Lytechinus pictus: one gene and its partner. The protein of the gene in region 1 interacts with the protein of each later gene in a pairwise test. Links are inferred from orthologs where the notes say so. Each region holds a gene or a part of one and is shown in the gene's direction. Other genes may lie near its edges.

The links.
Region 2: the proteins of mediator of RNA polymerase II transcription subunit 8-like (region 1) and multifunctional methyltransferase subunit TRM112-like protein interact in binary tests that used the Drosophila melanogaster proteins (3 or more experiments, as listed by UniProt). The link is inferred for Lytechinus pictus from reciprocal best matches to the Drosophila melanogaster genes MED8 and Trmt112.

The regions. Positions count from the first base shown.
Region 1 is NC_087255.1:17,119,385-17,131,351, forward strand, and holds the start of mediator of RNA polymerase II transcription subunit 8-like, read left to right. Parts: upstream 1-7,444; 5' UTR 7,445-7,562; coding exon 7,563-7,568; intron 7,569-9,713; coding exon 9,714-9,832; intron 9,833-10,327; coding exon 10,328-10,362; intron 10,363-10,590; coding exon 10,591-10,700; intron 10,701-11,967. UniProt on the Drosophila melanogaster protein: Component of the Mediator complex, a coactivator involved in the regulated transcription of nearly all RNA polymerase II-dependent genes.
Region 2 is NC_087251.1:25,024,508-25,034,101, reverse strand, and holds the start of multifunctional methyltransferase subunit TRM112-like protein, read left to right. Parts: upstream 1-4,577; 5' UTR 4,578-4,721; coding exon 4,722-4,820; intron 4,821-8,621; coding exon 8,622-8,723; intron 8,724-9,323; coding exon 9,324-9,416; intron 9,417-9,594.

The DNA.
Region 1 (11,967 bases):
GGGATGATTGTGTATGGTTTCCGGATCAAATTGTGATTGTGATAACAGGCCTCCAGTAAGAAATTTAAGGAGTGAGCTATCCCCACTAATATCTTCATCATGGATCCAGGATTTACCAAAGGGGTTGAACTTTCAAAAAATGATAAATAAATTTTAACCCCGAAAATAAGAATCAACAAATATATATAAATAGATAGATAGACAGGCAGATAGATAGAAAGATAGATAGATAATTCAAAAAGAAATAAAAACTCCTTAATGAAAAGTATTTCATTAATGATTAAAGTATTTCATTAATGATTAAAGTATTTCATTAATGATTAAAGTATTTCATTAATGATTAAAGTATTTCATTAATGATTAAAGTATTTCATTAATGATTAAAGTATTTCATTGATGATAAGTAGATAGATAGATAGATAAATAGATAGATATATAGATAGATATAGAGATAGATAGATAGGCCTAAAGATAGAAATAGTATGATACAGGTAGATAGAGAGATAAAGTCATAAAGGTGATGCACCACTAATTGTGAACCAATTTTGAAAAGTGCCCACCCCTCCCCCGGCGTTATTAGCCGAACATGGGGTACCCGGGCGAGTGGACCAACATTTCTATTGAGCGAGCAAAATTTTGATTTTTAAACTAATCTTGTTGGGGGGATCCATGGCCCCAGAAGCCCCCATTTGTACGCCAGTGCCTCCCCCAAAGAGGAAAAGAGCAAATAAAATCTGGTGGGAAGGGGGGCACAGTGGCGTAACAGGCGGGGGGGGGGGGGGCAGGCTGCCCCCCTGGCCGATTTCAACGGGAAAAGAAAAATGGGAGGGAGAAAGAAAGGGAAAGGGATATAATTCAAAATGTTTTTTTTAGATAAAAACTTGCATCGCAGTACATAGCCGAATTACAAAAAGCTTGTACAATATAATAAAAAGATCGATACCGAGGATAAGCATATAGTGTGGAATATAACAACAAAACCATGATACAATAAAGCAACAAATATGGTACATAACATAAGATAAACAAAATTATCACAAGACAAAATGTGTTCAATATGACATTAACGTCAATTACAAGAATCACAGAACTAAAAAAAAAAATACAAAGTCCAAGAATCAATATGAGAAAAAGGATGAGACATACAAATTATGCAAAAAAAGTACCAGATCGTGTACAATAAGGATTAGATTAAATATATGAATACACAAGAGATGAAGGATAAGGAGGAAAATATAGGCAGAATAACAAGAGCGAGCGATAGAAAAGAGGAAAGGATGAAAAAGGAAAGGGAAATATAATTAAATAGTGAAATGATAACTGAGGAAAAAACATTAAAAATTGAAAACGGAAGGAAAGAGGAAAAAGGAACGAAAGAAGAATATGTGAGAAAGAATTAAACCATTCCGAAATAGCTCTACTATTTAGCATGATTAAGAAAGGGAAATGAATTAAAAGATGACAAAATTGCAAACAAAAGCGGGAAAAGGAGATAGAATGGAATGAGCCAAAAGCTATAAGGGACAAGAAATAAAAAGAAAGAAGAACTTAAAGGGGAACTTAATAACACGACCGGGCTGCCGAGGATTGAAAATGAAGAAAGGTGGACCGTGGACTGCATGTATGCAAAATTGTGATGTAATTATGCTTGCTAAATTTTATGCAATAACGGTCGCAATCATAACTTAAATTGGCTAAATCTCCAAAGCTACTTGGGGCTTTGCCTCAGACCCCACTCAGCTTCATCTGTAACCTTCAAAGGGCTCTATAACGCCCCCTGTATGCAGGGCCATAGCTAGAGGGGGGGGGGGGGGTATGGGGGGCAGTGGCGTAACAGGCGGGGGGGCAGGGGGGGGGGCAAGCTGCCCCCCCTGGCGGAGCTCACCGGGAAAATAAAAAAAAAACGGGAAAAAGAAAAAAAAGGGAGGAAGAAAGGGAAAGGGAAAGGAAAGAAAAGAGAAAAAGGGAAAGGGGAAGGAAAGGGAAGGGGAAAGGAAAAGGAAAAGGGAAAAGAAAAATAAGAAAAACATAAAAAAAGGGAAAACGGAAAGATAACGGGAAAAGGAAGGAAAAAGAACAAGTGAGAAAGAACAATTCGCCCCGATATAATACATTAGCATGATTAGTAAGACAGGAAAATAAATTAAAGATGACAAAAAGGCAAACAAAAGCGGGAAAAAAAGGCAGAATGGAATTAGCCAAATCTAAATTGGAAAATAAAGAATAGGGAAAAAATAACGTACACTATACACTATAACGAGCGGGAAGAAAAATGGATGGTATATAGCATAATGTACGAAAGTCTATCATAAACTTGCTAAATCTCCAAAGGCTCTGTCCTAGAGTCAAGACCCCGTGCAGTGGAGGCTCTTCATCTGTAACCTTTTATGGGTTCTATAACGGGCCCCTATATGGACCTGCATTAAGCTTTACGTTGAAGCACTGGCGTACCAGGGGGTGGTTCCACAGCCAAGGGGAAATAAAAGAAAATAAAGGAGGCAGCGAAATGAGATGAATGAAAAAAAATATATGACATGATATTTGCTATAATGATGTAAAAATCTATCACATAATTAGAATTTCATTTTAACAGGCCATTTTTTTTTCTGGGGCTCTGCCCTGGACCCCACCCATAAAGCACTGTTATATGGATGAGTTGGACCATGGCCCCCAAAAGTTTTACAACCAAACAAAAAAAAGAGGAAAGAAAGGAAAGTGTATTATATTTTTCTGAATATCACGTTAAAATCTATCTTCATGTTAGATTCTCATGAAAAGGTTTTTTTTTTTTTATCTCGCTCGCTTCGCTCGCTCGGGACCTATATTAAGCTACTTCTTGCCAAAAGCGCCATACTCGGCCCCCTCGAGCATATAGAGCTTCGCCCTGATGCTGACAATCATAACACAAATCCTGTTCACCGTGGCGTACAAAAAAAGAGAGAAAAAAGGAAAGAGAGGAGGGTGAAATATGATATCATGTTTTTAACATTATGTCAAAATCTATCACAAAATTGGATTTTTGCAATAAAAATGTCAAAAAGATTTGCTCGCTCGCTTCGCTCGCTTATATATATATATTTGAGCGATACGCCATATCGCCCCCTCAAATGTTTTGCCTTATGACGCCATTGCCTGTTCCATGATATGACCGGGAAATTTTTGGCTCTTGCCCCCCCTGGCCACCGACCCCTGTTACGCCGCTGATGGGGGGGGGGGGGGTGTGACACCCCCCCAACATTCATGGCAGTCGGCAAAATCATGTACCAGTTGGCAAAATGGAGGATAGGGGAGAAAAAGAAAGAGGGAAAGAAAGGAAGAGAAAAAAGAAAGAAGGAGAGAGGGGGAGAGAAAGAAAGAAAGAAAGAAAGAAAGAAAGAAAGAAAGAAAGAAAGAAAGAAAGAAAGAAAGAAAGAAACGAAAGAAAGAAAGAAAGAAAGAAAGAAAGAAAGAAAGAAAGAAAGAAAGAAAGAAAGAAAGAAAGAAAGAAAGAAAGAAAGAAAGAAAGAAAGAAAGAAAGAAAGAAAGAAAGAAAGAAAGAAAGAAAGAACGAACGAAAGAACGAAAGAAAGAAAGAAAGAAAGAAAGAAAGAAAGAAAGAAAGAAAGAAAGAAAGAAAGAAAGAAAGAAAGAAAGAAAGAAAGAAAGAAAGAAAGAAAGAAAGAAAGAAAGAAAGAAAGAAAGAAAGAAAGAAAGAAAGAAAGAAAGAAAGAAAGAACGAAAGAACGAAAGAAAGAAAGAAAGAAAGAAAGAAAGAAAGAAAGCAAGAAAGAAAGAAAGAAAGAAAGAAAGAAAGAAAGCAAGAAAGAAAGAAAGAAAGAAAGAAAGAAAGAAAGAAAGAAAAAAAGGAAAGAAAAATAGGGGTACTAACTTCGAAGAAGGTTACGACTTTTAGAGTAAAGACAACCAGTTGGCAAATCCAAGTCCATGTAGCCAGGCTTAGAGCCCTACTAGTCAGCAAAATACAAAGGACAAATTATTTGGAGCTATAATAACACACAAAGTAAGCCCCCGGTCCTCCCCCAATATAAACAAGCTTGTGAGTTTGCAAATTATACCACAATTATTGACGATTTAACAAACACATTAGTTTTGTAAAATTAGAGGCAAGACTAGGTAAATAAATATGGGTTGGGATGAATTTCCAAGGTTTAAGTTGAATAATCAAAGCCAAAGTATAGTTGGCAAATTATAAAGTGGGCCTGTTAAAGTGGCAGAACACTATACGCTCTACCACTGGCGTAAATCCGGGGGGGGGGGGGGATGGGGGGATATATCCCCCCACTTTTCGAGGAGGGGGGGATGGCCTGTACAAACATCCCCCCCCCCCACTTTTTAAGAAAGTAATGAAAAAAAAATCACAAGAGATAATTGTTTTATTGGTGAAAATTCTTCCTAAAATACCGCTTAACAAATAAAACAATATTATTGAATCATAAAATGCAAATAAAGAGCCAGTTCACCATTTCCAAACGAAATACTTATTTCCTTATTATAACATTGAAGAGAAACCCCCATTTCTTCCAATTCATCAATGTTGGGGTCTTTGGGAAGGGATTAAGATGGAATGTCAAAAATTTTTGAATGTAATCTCTAATAAAACCATTAAACCATCATGGGGTAAAAAAGATAATAATATTGGAGGGGTATTTGCCATATGGACATACAGTGGCGTAACTACGGGGGGCATGGGGGGCACACCCCCCCCCCATCGGCTGACCAAAAAAAAAAAACGGGGAAAGGGGAAAGGAGAAAAGAGGGAGAAAGGAAGAGAAACGTACTGGGAAAGAAGAAAATATTATTCATTATAATGTTATATTATATTATAATTATGTTATGTTACATTACATAAGAAACATATTTATCATAACTTTATGAAACATAATTTGCCCAGGGCCTAAGTCTTCATTGTTCCTGGTGCTCGCATTGTCTGTTTAACGTGATATATAATCCTGTTGTACTAAAACATCCCGTTTTCAAGTCAATATAAACCAAATGTATTTCCTAGCACTTGAGTTATCATTGTTTTATGTAGTGACATATGCTTCTTTTTCACGACTAAAAAAGTGATTGCCCCATGTAAAGGTCTTCGTATATATGAAACATTTCCTGTCCGTGATTACGTTCGCATTAGTGGATTGGTGAGATATGTCTACTTTTCATAAATTCCTAAAATCAGTCCTTAAAATGTCCCTTCTGATCTGAATATCAAAAATTTTCAGCTCGCGCTTCGCGCTCGCATCATTTGGTTAATGAAATACGTATGGTCCTAGTTATTTCTTAAAAAAAAAACCTTAGAATGCCCCACTTCCGGTCTGAATTATCTAAATTTTCAGCTCGCGCTTCGCGCTCGCATTGTTTAGCGAGACAGGTACCTATCATGATTACACAAATTTGATTATAATGTCCCTTTTTAGGAGAGAATATGAAAAAAATTTCAGCTCGCGCTTCGCGCTCGCATTATTTGATCAGTGAGATACATATCAGTTTAATGACATCGTCCTTAAAATGTCTCTATTAGGGCAGTATAACTGGTAACTGAGCGCGCTCACTATAGCGCACTCACTCAGTGATTCAAAATTTTTGCTGGTGCCCCCCCCCCATGCCGTGATCACGGTACGCCACTGTGGACATATCAATGGCAATTCCTTGCATATCTAAAAACATGATTGCAAAAAAAATGCCAAAATATTTCAGTCATCCCCCCCCCCCACCCATCAACACGGATTTACGCCAGTGCGCTCTACCAGTCAGCAAAGTGATGTACAAGTACTGCCCCGTTTCAGATCTGAAAAGAACAGAACACAACACTAAAAAACTGGTAACTCTGCAGTTGGCAAATTCATGAAGACAAGTCTACAACTTGTAGACTTGTCTACAAGTTTGCAGTTGGCAAAAAACACAAAAATGTTCTAAGTTATATTTACAAATTATGTCGCCGAAGAATTTTTTTTAATTTATGGTGTCAGAATGTGCTTGGGGTGGGGATGGGTGGGATTGGGGGCAGGTTGGGGTTGCATCATTCCTGGTGCTCGCATTGTCTGACTAATGAGATATATAGTCCTGTTGTATTTTAAGTCCATAAAGATTATGCACCAAATTATCTCCTCGCACTTCAAGTTATTATTGTTTTATGAAGTGACATCTGCTTTTTTCATGACTATATACTTAAGGTGATTGCCCCCTATTAAGGCCTTAATAAAACATTTCCAGTCTGTGCTTACGTTCGCATTGGTGTGGACCGATTTAGATACCGGGCTGGTATTAAATCAACACTGGCGTTTTTGCAGTGCACAAATTCCTAAAGACAGTCCTTAAAATGTTCCCTTTTCTGATCTAATTATAACAAATTTTCAGCTCGCGCTTCGCGTTCGCATCACTTAATTAGTGAAATAGTAAATTCCTACAAACAAGCCATAGAAGGTCCAAATTGAAAAAATTGTCAGCTCGCGCTTCTCGCCCGCAATATTTCATTAGTGAAATACGTATCATGTTAATGATTACAATGACCACAAAAAGTGCTTCATGTACCAGTGTAATTCTAACAAAATCAGCAAGCGCTTGGCGCTTTCATTAGATGACTATGATGAGATACGTACGCACTTCATAAATTCCAAAAGATAGTCCTTAAAATGTCTCTTTTTAGGGTTAAGTTAAACAAAAAATTTCAGCCCGCGCTTCGCGCTCGCATTGTTTGTTTTGTGAGACAGGTACGTATCATGATTACAAAACTTTGCTTATGTCCCTTTTAGGACTGAATATCAAACATTTTCAGCTCGCGCTTCGCGCTCGCATTATTTGATCACTAAGATACATATCCGTTTAATGGCACAGTTTTAAAATGTCTCTATTAGGTCAGTATACCTGGCAATTGAGCACGCTTCGCGCGCCCACTTAATGACTCAAAATTTTTGCTGGTGCCCCCCCCATGCCGTGACCCACGGTACGCCACTGTTAGCAGTACTTAGCACTCTTGAAATTTCAGTTGAGACATCTTGCACAGAAGGTCAATTAAAAATTAACAAATCTTTGATTTTCATATTATTAATGCATATGGGGCATTATACTGCAAGTTAGCAACATCGGCACACTATAGCCTTTCTATTTTGATCCAAAATGTTTATTTTCACAGTGCAAATATCTTTGTATATTTTTGTATAATTTACCTTAAAGTATTCACCAAATGCCACTAATTCAATTCTAAAAATTCAAAATCTTTTAGCATGTGATTATTGTGGGGGGGGGGGGCACATCCCCCATCTGCCCTGTGCTCACGTTGGCGCTGTCACGCCAAATGTAGTTGGCAAATTTAGCTGGTACACCCCCCCCCAACAAAATGCTTCTGGCTACGGCCCTGCCTGTATGGACCCTTCAATTCCTACGTTAATCACTGGCGTACAGGGGGGGGGGGGGGGGGGGGGGCATAGCTTTAAACGAGATCAGTGTGGACGCCCTCTGCGTTTGTTGACTGTCATCTGACGCTTGAAGAAAAGGAAAATAGCCCTGATAAACTGCCTCAAAAAGAGGCTTCTTTGAAGTGGTGTCGCGATATCATTTTCTTCAAAATGCAGGTAAAGTCGGAATTAATAGAATATATTTTTATTTTATGGAATTTAGGAGGCACACGTCCCATAATGAAGTCTAATTTTCCCTAAAACTTAATTCCAGTCCCTTTCGTTTAAATTTGCGTCTCCAAATCTGACTGTAAGTGCAACTGCAAGTAAGTAAGTTGAACTTCAAAGTTCAAGTAACCTATACGGTTACCCCCAAATTAAGATAATAATTAATATTGGCGAATGATACATCAAATGAAAGGTCTTTGCATTAGAAATGAAAAAAAAAGAAAATTCGTCCAACCGTTGAGGAATTATGGGTAATAAAATATCAAATTTTTCTACCGCAAAAAATGCCAAAATGTGATGGCATGACTGACATGACTGATGCCTCAAATTTTTTTGTGGTATCTAACGTTAGTCTAAATTATATATTACGTTTGAAAATTGCGCCACGTCATTCCAAGAATATTTTCCCTCGAGTCTTGCGAAACTTTTTGAGTCCAAATTTACAATACTAAGTAATTAGTATACTCTGGGGCCCGTTTCTCAACACATGGACAAGTTAGTCATATCTTTATCCACCAACCACGGAGTTAGTTCCAATCTTACTAAATCTGTTTCTCGAAAAGTTTCCTAACTAGAATACCTTGATATCGATACTATCGGTAGAAAGAGCAGACGAGACGTAGCCTTAGTCACAAAATAGCATTAATATTCAAAAAGAAAAATTATGACAAAATTGCAAATATTGTGATAAATTGGGAAATAAATATTTTCAAAATAATAGCACAGGTGAATTATGCATCATACATACTTAGACCATGAAGACTTGAGCATTCAATTGCAGAGAAAATGAAATTATGAATAATTCATTTCATGACTAAAAAATCACTTGTGGACGTTGAGATTGGGTACCCCCGGGATATCCAATTTTAATAGTTTACGAAAGTAAACCATAACGGTTTTCTTTGTAAAATGATGATAATTATGCGGTCTTTTACGATTCCGAACGTCATCAAAATATAGTTCAACAAAACATTTTTAACCATTAATACCATCATACCGGAACATACGATATTTGACAAATTATATGCATAAATTAGAGATAGAATTTATCCAACTGTTAATAGGGGTCTGAAAACAACAAATACGAGTTCAGTTATGGATGGCCTGACGTGGTAGAATATTTATCGATTAAATCATTTTACTATTTCAAAATGAATGGTTTTGTGGCGTTTTACCAATAGTTTTTATAGTTTCTTTGTATTACAATTATCATTGAATGCATTAACCCACTTGTTTTGTGATGTAACTTCAACCTCTATGATGATTACGTAAGATTATGATTTTAAAATTTCTATGCGCTTTTGCATGTCATAGTCTACCCACGTGATGCCACTACGTCATTAAGAAAGAAGTTATGACAGGTTCGGAGGTGTCATAAATATTTAGTGAGGTTGTTGTACCCGATCTTGGTAAAGAGGGCTTCGTGAAACGGTTAGCGGACAAGTAGCTCACTATCTCCGATTTAGTCAAGAAGTTAGACTTATGACGGTGTTGAGAAACGGGCCCCTGGTATGCGGATATATAGTAGGCCTAGCCTTGAAGTTGAGGACTCCATGATGATGTTTTTTAAATATTTTGACATATACTTCTTCATTATGGAGCCTTGACACTCTTTCCATAGACGCTGCAGTAAGACCTACACACCCGGATGGATTTCCCTAGGAAATCCATAGTTAAAAGGTGAAATCGGTTTGTAGAGGTGAATTTTATTTATCTATCAACCTTCATGCGCCTAGCCAGGGCAGGAGGCTTCTAGAGAGTAAAAATAATTTACTAACGTATACTTACTCTCCATGAAGCCAGGAATTCCTTTCCATTCATCTGCACGTACCGGCCAAAAACCTGAAACTTTCGCCCCTGAGATTTCTACTTCTAAAAGATCTAGCCCTAAATCATGCGCATGGGATACAACTTCATTTCCAACATTTCTACGCTATCAATTTTATTTTTAAACAAGAATTCATCCAAAAAATGAGAAAAATATTATAAAAAGACGGAAGAGACTTGCCCGATGTTTACGCCGCCATCTTGTTTCCTATTGTTCTTCCCCAACGTTACGGACGCGTCCGTCATTTTTTTCTTTTTTAATTTTAGAATCAAGACAAAGTTTTGGACAATTCTTTGGATTACATCTCGAGCAGAGTCAACGATTTGAAGAAGGCCCTAACAGACCTTCTCATGAAACTTGAACATCATCATGAAACTCTCAGTTGGTAAGTTAACACGACAGCATTATGACAATACTAATGAAAAAAAAAGAAAACAAACAACCAAAAGAAATTGAAAAAAAAATGGGTATATAATATTTTCACAGCTAAAAGCTCTCAGCCACAACTTTGTTTTTCTTAATCTACAGTTTGCACCCTTACAATATGTTGATTTTATTAAAAGAAAATAATGGCTTAAAAGAAAATAATTAAATAAATCAACCAAGTATAGCTAATGTGCTAATAAAATGCTCCGTTTGTACCACATGTATAATAAATTAAGTACCGGTATTTCAATTTTAAACCAATATATTGAATCAAAAAAAAAAAGTAAATTAATGCATGACTTTGTTCAATTTAAAGACATGAATATCCAAAATGGAATCTCAAAGTTTTCCTGTCTATTTTAATTGGTATGACCGCATTGTAGATACAGTATTTTCTCCGAAAAATTGTAGGGAAAATAGTCTAAATCTTCTATTAATCTATCTGTCTTTGCAGGCCATCTGTTCTCAACAGTTTTGCTCTATTATCAGGTATGTATTTTTTTCATTGGTCAAATTACTATAATTTCCGTTCATATTAAAGATGATATTACTCTAGCAAAGTTATTGAAAACTTTGGTTGCAGGCCAATGTATAATATGAATGTAATAATTTTTTGCTTTGTGTTATATTTTGGAATATCATGTTTGTAATATTCTGTTTGGTTTTAAGATGGTAGCATAATAAATAAAGCAATTAATATCTTATTTCAAATTACAGGTCAGATTAACACATTACATCGGCATCTCAAGAGTGATAAGACTCCAGCACTGAAGAACCTGATCATTCTCCCACTCAAACTATCACAAGATAGAGATGAAGAACTAGAGGTATGCATTTGCTTTCACAAACATTTACCTTCATTGGTGGAATACGCCACAAGGAGTGGAGATTGATACTAAGTCTAATGCAGGGCGCGACAAACCCGCTTGCCCGGGGCAAGTGAAAAGGACGTGCGGGCAAGCATTTCTCAAAGTCAATTGCCCGATCGGACAAGTGGTTGTTTTGGAAATAAAATACCAGTAGACCCTTTAAATTTCAATATCTTTTGGATAATCACAACTATCTCTCACTCATATTATGTCAAACCAGTAATAAAAAACAGTGGAAACTGATGTAAAATCAGCGCCAATTACCAATAATTTATCGCCAGGTACCTCGTTTGAAAAACCATGCCATTGCATCTTGCGTTCTATGTGTGCAATGACTGCGCATGCGCTACTATCTTGCGCAATTTGCCGATGCAAACAAACAACAAAAAAACACCAAAAGTGGCTAAAATTTCACATTTTGCAAAAATCCATGAAATGGCCATCTATTTTCCATTTTACCTTGAAATTGTTTTGATTTAGTTGGAAACTACTGAAAAAAATGAAGAATATTCAGCCCTATTTGACTCTCTTTCTTGATTCTGATTTATTATGATGTTACACTCGGTAAATGTTCTTTATTATTGTGGTCCCACATGTAGACTTTTATGGTGTTGACCAAGTGTAAAACGATCAAAACTGTTTAAAAAAAACCCCATGAAAGTCTACATGCGGGACTAGAATTAAACAAATATTGATCCAGTGTAACATCATAAAATGATGAAGAAAAGACAGAGACAGGTGAATATTCTTAATTTTCTTAATAGTTTCCAACTAATTTATTAAAAAAATTCAAGGAAATATGGGAAATAAATGACCATTTCATGGATTTAAAGATGCAAAATGTGAAATTTTAGCCACTCCACTTTTGAAAATTTTTTTTTTTACATCATAAAACGATCTTTTTCAGTGTCAATAAAGAGCTGAATACGCCCATTTATAAATGGCGAAAAAAAAATCAAAATAAACTTAATGACTCAGGCTATGTTGCTGAAAATAAACTTTTAAATGTGTGCTCTTTTATACTGTACATGATTCTCAATTGTTATTTTGTATGACCTTTAAAAATAAGAGTAGTGCCGTCATAATAAAAAAATGTAAAACAAATTGGGCATGTAGTTTTTTCTATCGGGCAAGAAACTTTTTCATCACTTGCCCGACAGGGCAAGTAACAATTTTTTTTGTACAGGCCTGTCTAATGACAGGGTAGCTATTTTTAAGTTTCCTT
Region 2 (9,594 bases), on another chromosome or scaffold:
GATATAGAAAAAAGATAAAATTTGATATGGGGAGGTTCGGATGATTCGAAATTTATGGGGGCATCCAAAATGAGGGCTTTAATAAATGAGATGGCACATTGTTAAATCAAGGTTGTAAGTTATATGGACATGGAGATGGTGTTAGTAAACAAGATATATATATATATAACACACATGCATATACATATTTTTTCCCTTTCTTCCATTTCTTCATCTTTATTCCTTTTCCTTTAATTTCTTCTCCTTTTCTTTCCATTCTTCTTTTTTTTCTTTTTTTTCTCCTCCTTCCTTTCCTTTTCCTTTCTTTTCCCTTTCATTTTCTCTTACTTTCCTTTGTCTTTCTTTTTTTTCTCTTCTTCTTTTTTTTCAAAATGGATAATAACCGGGGATAATAAGCTCTACTGAATACAAAGAATATAACCTAGACTAGTATCCCGTAATTAGTAACCAACTGGAATAAAATTATTGGAAATGGTTTTTTGACTGATTTGAGTAGGTATGGGTGTCAACATTTACCCAAAAAAAGTTAGGAGGAATACGGGTTGGGGAAAGTGCTTTTTTTCAAGGTCAAAGGTCAATGACCTTTTTAAATATACTGTATCATGGTAGCTCCCAGATAAAATATTACAGGTTGGTGATCATGGTGTCAAAATGCACAGATTCTTACAAGAAGATCAAATAAAATCAAATCAAGTACCTACAATGCTCATTCACCCATGAAATTCAAGGTCAAAGCCTTTCAAAGTTCAATGACCTTTATTACATTATATACCATATACGGTATAATGGTATCTCTGAGATGAAAAGGTTTCAGGTTGGTGATCTAGGTGTCAAAATGCAGAGGTTCTTACAGGAAGATCAAATAAAATCAAATTAATTACCCAGAATGCACATTAAACAATAAAATTCAAGGTCAAAGCCTTTCAAAGGTCAATGACCTTTTTTCTACATCATATACCATATACGGTATAATGCTATCTCTCAGATGAAAAGGCGCAGGTTGGTGATCTTGGTTTCAAAATGCACAGATTCTTACAAGAAGATCAAATGAAATCAAATCAAGTACCTACAATGCTCATTCACCGAATGAATGAAATTCAAGGTCAAAGCTTTCAAAGCTCAATTACTTTTTTTTACATTGTATACCATATACGGTATAATGGTATCTCTGAGATGAAAAGGTGCAGGTTGGTGATCTTGGTGTCAAAATGCAGAGGTTCTTACAGGAAGATCAAATAAAATAGAATTAAGTACCCAGAATGCACATTAAACTATAAAATTCAAGGTAAAAGCCTTTCAAAGGTCAATGACCTTTTTTACATTATGTATCATACTGTATAATAGTATCTCTGAGATGAAACGGCACAGGTTGGTGATCGTTGGATCAAAATTCCCAGATTCTTACAGGAAGATCAAATAAGATAAAGTTAATCACCTAGAATGCATACTAACCCATAAAGTTCAAGGTCAAAGGTCAGTGACCTTTTTACATAGGCTATATATCGTCTAAAGGTATCTCTGAGATAAAACGCTGCATGTTGGTGATTTTGATGTCAATTCAATTTTTGCAAGAAGATAAAAAAGACTCAAAATAATCATACAGAATAATCCAATATCCAAAGTCAAAGGTCAAAAGTTGATAAATATTTATATATCCATGCATGATTCCCCCCAAAAAGAAATTAATCCATTATATTCACATTTTATTTGTGAATAATAGAAAGAAAGATAACTATTTGTAATGAACACTTGGAAGTCTAATAATTTCACTCTGAAAGAAATAAGGATAAAAAATGGCCATGGAAAATATATTTAGGAGTTAAAGGTCAATCAACTATGTCAATAGCGTCAGGGAATTTAAGTAAATAGGTCGATATAACGTGATTGTGGCATGTAGGTATAGTGATTCTGATGGGAAAAAGACTGACCTGCGTGGAAAAAGAACACAAATTTAATAGTTGAATCCTTGACCAATGATGATGTCAAAATACAAGTTCGAGGTACAAATTGGATCAAATAGCACTTTTTCTTATAATATACTGTAATGCATTGACAAAAGTGTTTAAAAAAAATCATGTGTGATATAATTTGAAATGGTGACAATGGTGAAGTTACCTAAAGTAGCAGCATTTAGATATGCATTTTATAAATCTAAATCAAGGTACTAATTTCTCTGTAGCAATAGGTCACTAACCTCAAATGCTACAATCAATACTATAACACTATAACTTAATCTGTAAATGGAAAGGATAGGCCTAAGTCTCATGGCAAGCATCATCCGAGAACATTTGCATATAGCCAGGGACAATGACGAAGAATTAAAATAAGGCAATCATTAGAGCTGCAGCTTTTTTTGTCATAGATGAAGTTAAGTGTCTCAACTTCAGCAAAGAGTAATTGGACTCTTGAAAACCTTCTGACATTTTCAAGACTTTGATATGGCCCATTCAATGAAAGCCTAACGTTCTGTCAAGGGATATCAGACCAGGATCTATATTATTACTGATAATTGCACAGCTTGATTCTCAAGAACTGGAAGTGGTGCTATGAGTTTTGTTAGGTCGATGGATGTGTACTTGTAAGCTATTATCTCCTTTTGAATGGCATTGTTATATGCCTAATTTGTGCATGCTAACAATCAGTTTTCTGGACCAAAAACATGATCCTTGTACAAACTGATACCTAGTAGAAATAGCATCATGGGTGACGTACGGCAGAGAGCAGATATGAAGGTTTGTCTTGCAGCATTAGCATCACAAGAGATTCTGGCAGCTCGCAATGAACTGATGAAAGGTACTAATAATACGGGAATTTACCTTTGTTGAAGTTGATATATATATAATTTACTACATGTATATGACAGAAGCTGCAGCTCTAATGATGGCCTTCATTTCATCATCATCCCTCTGCTGTTTGGAAATGCTCTCAGATGATGCTTGCTGTGACATGAGAGTTAGACCTGTCCTATCCATTTTCAGAAGATTAAGCTAATAGTTTATAGTATTTATTATAGCATTGAGATGAGTGGCCTATCGCTGGAGAGAAAAGACACGACAACCTTGATTTAGATATAATGATGCATTAAATGCTGCTACTTAAGATAAAAATCATTTCAAATTATATACTTGATTTCATGTATTTTTTCAGTGCTTTTGGCAATGCATCGCAGTATATGAAAAAGTGTTATTTGGTTATCAACTTTTTAAACTTCATTTCCACTGATATTTTGGAAAGGGCTCATTGACCTCTGACCCCAAAATACATTCTCCATGGCCTTCATTATTTCAGACCGAAATTATGAAACCTCCATGTTTTCATTACAAATTAGCCATGGTTATTTACATATTATTCAGATATAAAATATGAACACAAAAGATATTGTTTTGGGTTATTTTTACATCATATAGATTATATATTTCTTCTGATCTAGGATTTCAAGGGTGAAAGTTTATTCTTTATACTTATTTTAGTGTTGTTTAATCTTCTTGTACAAGTCTTTGGATTTTGGCACCAAGATCACCAACCTGCGGTGTTTTATCTCAGAGATACCATTATTATCATCTAATGTTAAAAAGGACATTGACCTTTGTCCTTGAATTTTATGGGTGAATGTGCATTCTCTATGCTTAATTTTATTTTATCTTCCTGTAAGAATATGCGTGTTTTGACACCAAGAACACCAACCCGCACCGTTTTATCTTAGAGATACAATTATATAATATGGTATATGTAGTATAAAAGGTCATTGACCTTTGGCCTTAAATTTTATGCGTGAATGTGCATTCTAGGTACTTAATTTTATTCCATTTGATCTTCTGGTAAGAATCTGTGCATTTTGACACCATGATCACCAACCTGTGCTTTTTCATCTCAGGGATACCATTATACAGTATGGTATATAATGTAAATAGGTCATTGACCTTTGAAAAGCTTTGACCTTGAATTTTATTGGTGAATGTGCATTCTAGGTACTTAAGTTTATTTCATTTGATCTTCTTGTAAGAATCTGTACATTTTGACACCATGATCACCAGCATGTACCTTATCATCTCAGAGATACCATTATACGGTATGGTATATAATGTAAAAAAGGTCATTGACCTTTTGAAAGGCTTTGACCTTGAATTTTATAGGTGAATGTGCATTTTAGGTCATTAATTTTATTCTATTTGATATTCTGGTAAGAATTTGTGCATTTTGACACCATTATCACCAACCTGCGCCTTTCCATCTCAGAGATACCATTATACAGTATGTACGAAAAGGTCATTGACCTTTGACCTTGAAAAAAAGCACTTTCCCCAACCCGTATTCCTCCTAACTTTTTTTGGGGTAAATGTTGACACCCATACCTACTCAAATCAGTCAAAAAAACATTTCCAATAATTTTATTCCAGACTCAGAGAAGAGAGATATATTATTCTAAAACAAACAGAACAATGACCATCGTCTATGTGGCCTCATACTCATATAAAATACATATATATACACAATTACACACATATGTATCTATATGAACAAATAAGTAATTAGATACTAATCAAATAGATATTTTTCTCTATTTCCTAGTCTGAGGTATAGACTAGTTTATGTATCCCATCGTGCATTACGGTTTAAATATGGCAGCCCCCATGTCAATTGAAATGTAATGCATGCATGCACGCAATTACACGCGCATTACCATTAGATACAAGATTTCGCATCGTTGTCGTTGACGTTAGATGAGATCGACAGTAGTTAGGACAATGAAGTTACTTACACATAATATGCTGACTTCTCATGTCAAAGGAGTGAAAAATGGATACCCTTTAAAAATAGAGGTAAGATACTAAGTCAAGACTAAGATCTGAAGTGAAGATTAAACAGTTAAATAAGATTAAACAGTTAAAATAGATCTAACTTTATTTTTAAGTACCGGTAGGCCTAGACCAAAAGCTTCGGTCTGTGTTATGTTGGTTGTTCAGCTGAACTCCGTTGGCTTCACTCACCAAATACAGAGACCGAAGTTCTAGCGCGATCTGTACAGGGGACTCAATGGCCATATGTTTATGTACTTAAGATCGGATAAAACGAGGAAGTGAATTTGCGCGACAGCCGAGGTAAGTCACTGTTTTTGTTCCTTTTAACTTGATTTTTCTCCGTTTTTTGGCAATTGATGCCAAGAGGGAATATTAATTTGCATTTTGGTCGCGTGAATTTTCAAAATTTTTACTCATTAAAGACAAAAATTGAAGAGCCCCGACGGGGGGATTTTGCATTGCAAGTCCCCTAATGGTGGCTGCACGCTAGCGAGCCGTCTGTGTATGAGGAGAAATTAAAAAAAAAAAAAAATGTTAAAAAACTCCTCGAAACAGAGTAACAGACGGCTGCCAGCTGTCTACGGTAGGCCTAGAATAGATCTAACATTAAAGTTAGAACCTAACGTTAGTTAATAGTAGTGCAGACACAACTGTATTTTTCCAGTAGATGCGGTATAAAGGTATTAAAGGCATAAAGACTAAGTTTTAAGATAAGAATATAAATTTCAGAAAAGACAGAAGTGAGACTGCATCAGGGTGACCAGATTTCACAAAGTGAAATACAGATTACAGGAGAATCGACAAAGGTCAAAGCACGCTGCACAAGCGGATCGACCGAGGCCGAGCCAGGTCTTAATAAAAAGAAGATCAACAAAGAAGGCTACACTGTACACAGACACAGTGTTAGACTTGTAAGTTGTAAAAAAAATAAACAATTGGAAGGGAGGATGAACGAAAGAATGAAGGAGAGAAAGAAAAGAGATGAATTGAAAGAAGAAAGAAAGAAAAAAGGGAAAATGCAGGAAAAAAGGAAGTTAGAATAAAAGAAGGATGAAATAAAGAATAACAGAGATTAAAGGTTTCCGTCATTCTTTGAATTGAAAAAAGAAAAAGAAAAACTGAAAGAAATGGAAGATGAACAAATGTGTGAAAGAATTAAAAAATAAAGGAGAGAAAGGAAAAGGGTAAGAAAAAAGGAGGAAGCGGAAAGAAAGAATGGAGGAAAGAAAAATGTTTCCTTCAGAAAATGAAAAAGAAACAAAGAAAGAAGAAAAACAGGAAGGGAGGGAAAGAAAGAAAGAATAAGGGAAAATAATTAGAAGGGAAAAATTAAATAAAGAATGAAAGAAAGGATGAAACAGAGGGAGGAGAGAATGAAAAAAAAAGTAATGGAACTAGTAGTAGTAGATTAGAGAATGAACAAAGATAAAAAGGAGAGGAAGGGAGAAGGAAGCAAAGCAAAGTTTAAGGAAAGAAAATTAATGAAGTAAATAAAAAAAGTAAATTTAAAAAAGAAAGAAGGAAAGACAGAAAAATGAACAGAGATAGAGAGAGACTAAAAATCAGGAAATAAAGATTCATGGAATGAAAAAGGGGCAAGAAGAAAAGAACGAAAGAGGAAATAGTTCAAACTTCTATATATATATTTTTTTTTATAAAAAAAACCTAAAATGTTTAAAAAATGAAGGAGGCGCGATAGCTCAGTCAGTAGAGCGGGGGTTTCGGATTCCGGTGACCCGGGTTCGATTCCCAAGTGGTGCGCTAGTGCCCTTTGGTAAGGCATTCATCCTCATTACCAGGTCCCTCTGAGAGGACCTTAAGCCGATGGCCTCTGGTTACTTGCTCACAGGCATTCGTGCTTTCTTAGCAGTCAGGTGAAAACCTCGGTATAACAATAAAATTTCAAAGTGAAACATTGTCAAATTTAAATATTAGATGAAACAACGCAGCATGCATCACACACAAGGAATCTCTCTTAGGCCCATCCCATTACAAGATCGCATCGATCACAAGACTCAAAACAAGAGCTGAAACAATACTAGATCAATATAATTATGAAAACTTGATAACTTGTTCCTCTGATTACATCACCAAATCAGTAATATAATATCATAATAAAAATTCCCCGCCGATTTTGTGATGATTTTGGTGGAAAAACTGTTTATCATGTGAGATTGTTTGCACCATTGAGAATCTGCTCCGATCCACCATGCCGAGCTAGTAGCCTGCCACACATTCATTTGCAATGTATTCATGGTGTTGAGTTAGCAAGAAAATCACCGCAGAACTTGCACAAGTTTACAGTTATCGATTTTATTGTTATCTCTGCCCCGATCTCTGCTTCGTCATCTGTTGGTTATTTGATGAAAATTCTCCACTTTTAAATATATTAACTATATTTTGTTCAATATTCTGAAATACGGGGACAAATAGGCATCCCGTGAAGGATTTGTCGGGACGCCGGGACAAAGGAGCAAAATACGGGACGATCCCGGGAAATACGGGACGTCTGGTCACCCTGGACTGCATGGAGTTGGACTGAGTGAGACTGAGAGTGAGACGTCTTCTAATTTTGTAAAGTATTACGTTAGAACTAACGTTAGAACTTTTAGAAGAACAAAGTTAGGCCTAGCCAGGAGGCTGAGTCCTGGTAAAGAGTAAATATCATTCACCAACGTGTGTTTACTCTCCACAGAGCTCGCCGCCAGCGCCAGGGATTGCGTCCTATTCATATACGTATAGTCTACCGCGAAAAAAAATGACCGGGGTATACTATAGTATAGGGTCTATCTGCAGATCTGTGAATGTAATTGAAAACATGGTATTACTATTGGTAAAGCGCTTAGAAGTTAAGAGATGTCGTTCCGATGTAGAAGTAAGCGCTGGACTATATAAAAGCGGAATGAAAAATTGTTCCCAGGGCCCGCCCCTGTTGGAAGGATGTCACCAGCACGGATGAAACAAATGGCGGTGAATCTGGACTGGTGACTTATTTTATTTCATGATGATGATAATGCCAAATGGCATGGCAGTAGATCAACAGACCAGTACATGCAGTTAGTAACTAAATAAGAGGTGCGGGTGGGATTGTTTTTTCACATGTTCAGTGAGGAATAAATCTTTGCTTGACATGACAATGAGGTGAAAATGAAAATATTTCATATTTCATATAATGAAATACAATATAGTGAGTGGGTGATGCTGTCAGTCCTCTCATTTTATGCATACCGATCAGGCCAGGATGTGCATATAACTGTTTTGTGAATTTAAGCGAAACTTTAAAATGACATAACTTTCTATTTCTATGAAAATTTTCAGAGTTATGCTTGTTGGATTTTTCTCCTTTTATTCAAATCAACTTTTTATTAGAATAGACTTGTCCGTTTAATTGCTGTCATCCCATAGTTGTAATACGATACCCCATGATTAATGAACCATCCACTGGATTGGTATTGGCATTTAACAGGTGAATGAACCTTTTTTTAGATTTCTTGTGAGGAGAAATAATAATAAAAGAAGATAGTACTACTAGGGATGATTCTCATTTTCAGACCGGTGCCTCTACTGTAAGAGCCAACCGTAATTTAGACGTACAATTAATTTTCTGTAGAATGCTATGCCCTCTATGTTGTTGCATTGAATTTGAATTTCTAAATTAAACCTATGAAAATGTGATAATATGCATTCAGCGAAAGAAAATCTTTGAGTGTTCTTCATCTGAGCTGAGGGACTGATACTGCACAACTGTTCTCAAGAAGCAAGTGCTTATTACTGTTCTCTTTGACTTTGTAATACAGTGTATGTTCATGTTTGCTATTACAGCCTGAAAATACAAGGACGCTGGAAGTTGAATTTAACCCAGACTTCATCGCTAGAATGATTCCAAGAATAGACTGGACTGCCCTTTATGATACAGCATGCAGCGTAAGTCGTTTTATTTCATAACATGTCCAATATCCATTATGTTTTTCTTTTTCATATTTTCACTTATCATTTTCTCTGCAACCAGAAAAAGATGTAGGCCTACCGTATCATACTCACGTTTTTATACTTAATGAAATGATGAAAACCTGATGATGTATTTAAATAGTGCATACATGTAGTATATATGTTTTATAACCCACTCATATGAATGATTTACAAGAGGATACAGATCTTTTGCAGTTCAAATACTGTATTAAAGAACATACGTATATCCTGATGTGACATACATAAGAATTAATCATTAATGGTAACAGTCCCTGAGTCAATGCACTTTCATAGAAGCAACCACATGAAGGTTGATTGCATGAAAATAGAATATTGTTATTCACTACTTCTAGAAAATATTGGGAATTGGGTGTATTATGATTGTAATACATTTTTTTTGGCAAAAATTAATGTTAATGTGAAATTTCTTTAAATTTCTTTCTTTCTTTGTTGTTGTTGATATTTGTATTATCAATGGCCTCTTTCTTTTCACTGTGTAAGTTTGCATAATGTAGTTAGCCTACAGTGAGCATATGTTATCAATATATTTTCCAGCTCAATGTGAATGGTAACCTACCTCCTCAACTGATAGAAAACTATGAGAGTGATGAAGAATTCTTGAAAGAAGCTCATAGAGTGTTGCTAGAGGTAAGTTTACATAGCACCAGGTGTAGGTATATTAAATAACCTGGACCAACTGGTTAGTTAATGGCAGATAAAGCTAAATACGAAGCAAACTTCGAGGAATGATTGTGCAACTAAAATAAGCTACGGCCAAGAGGCCAACACCAGCTGGCATATGTACTCTTTAAACATCCATAATATG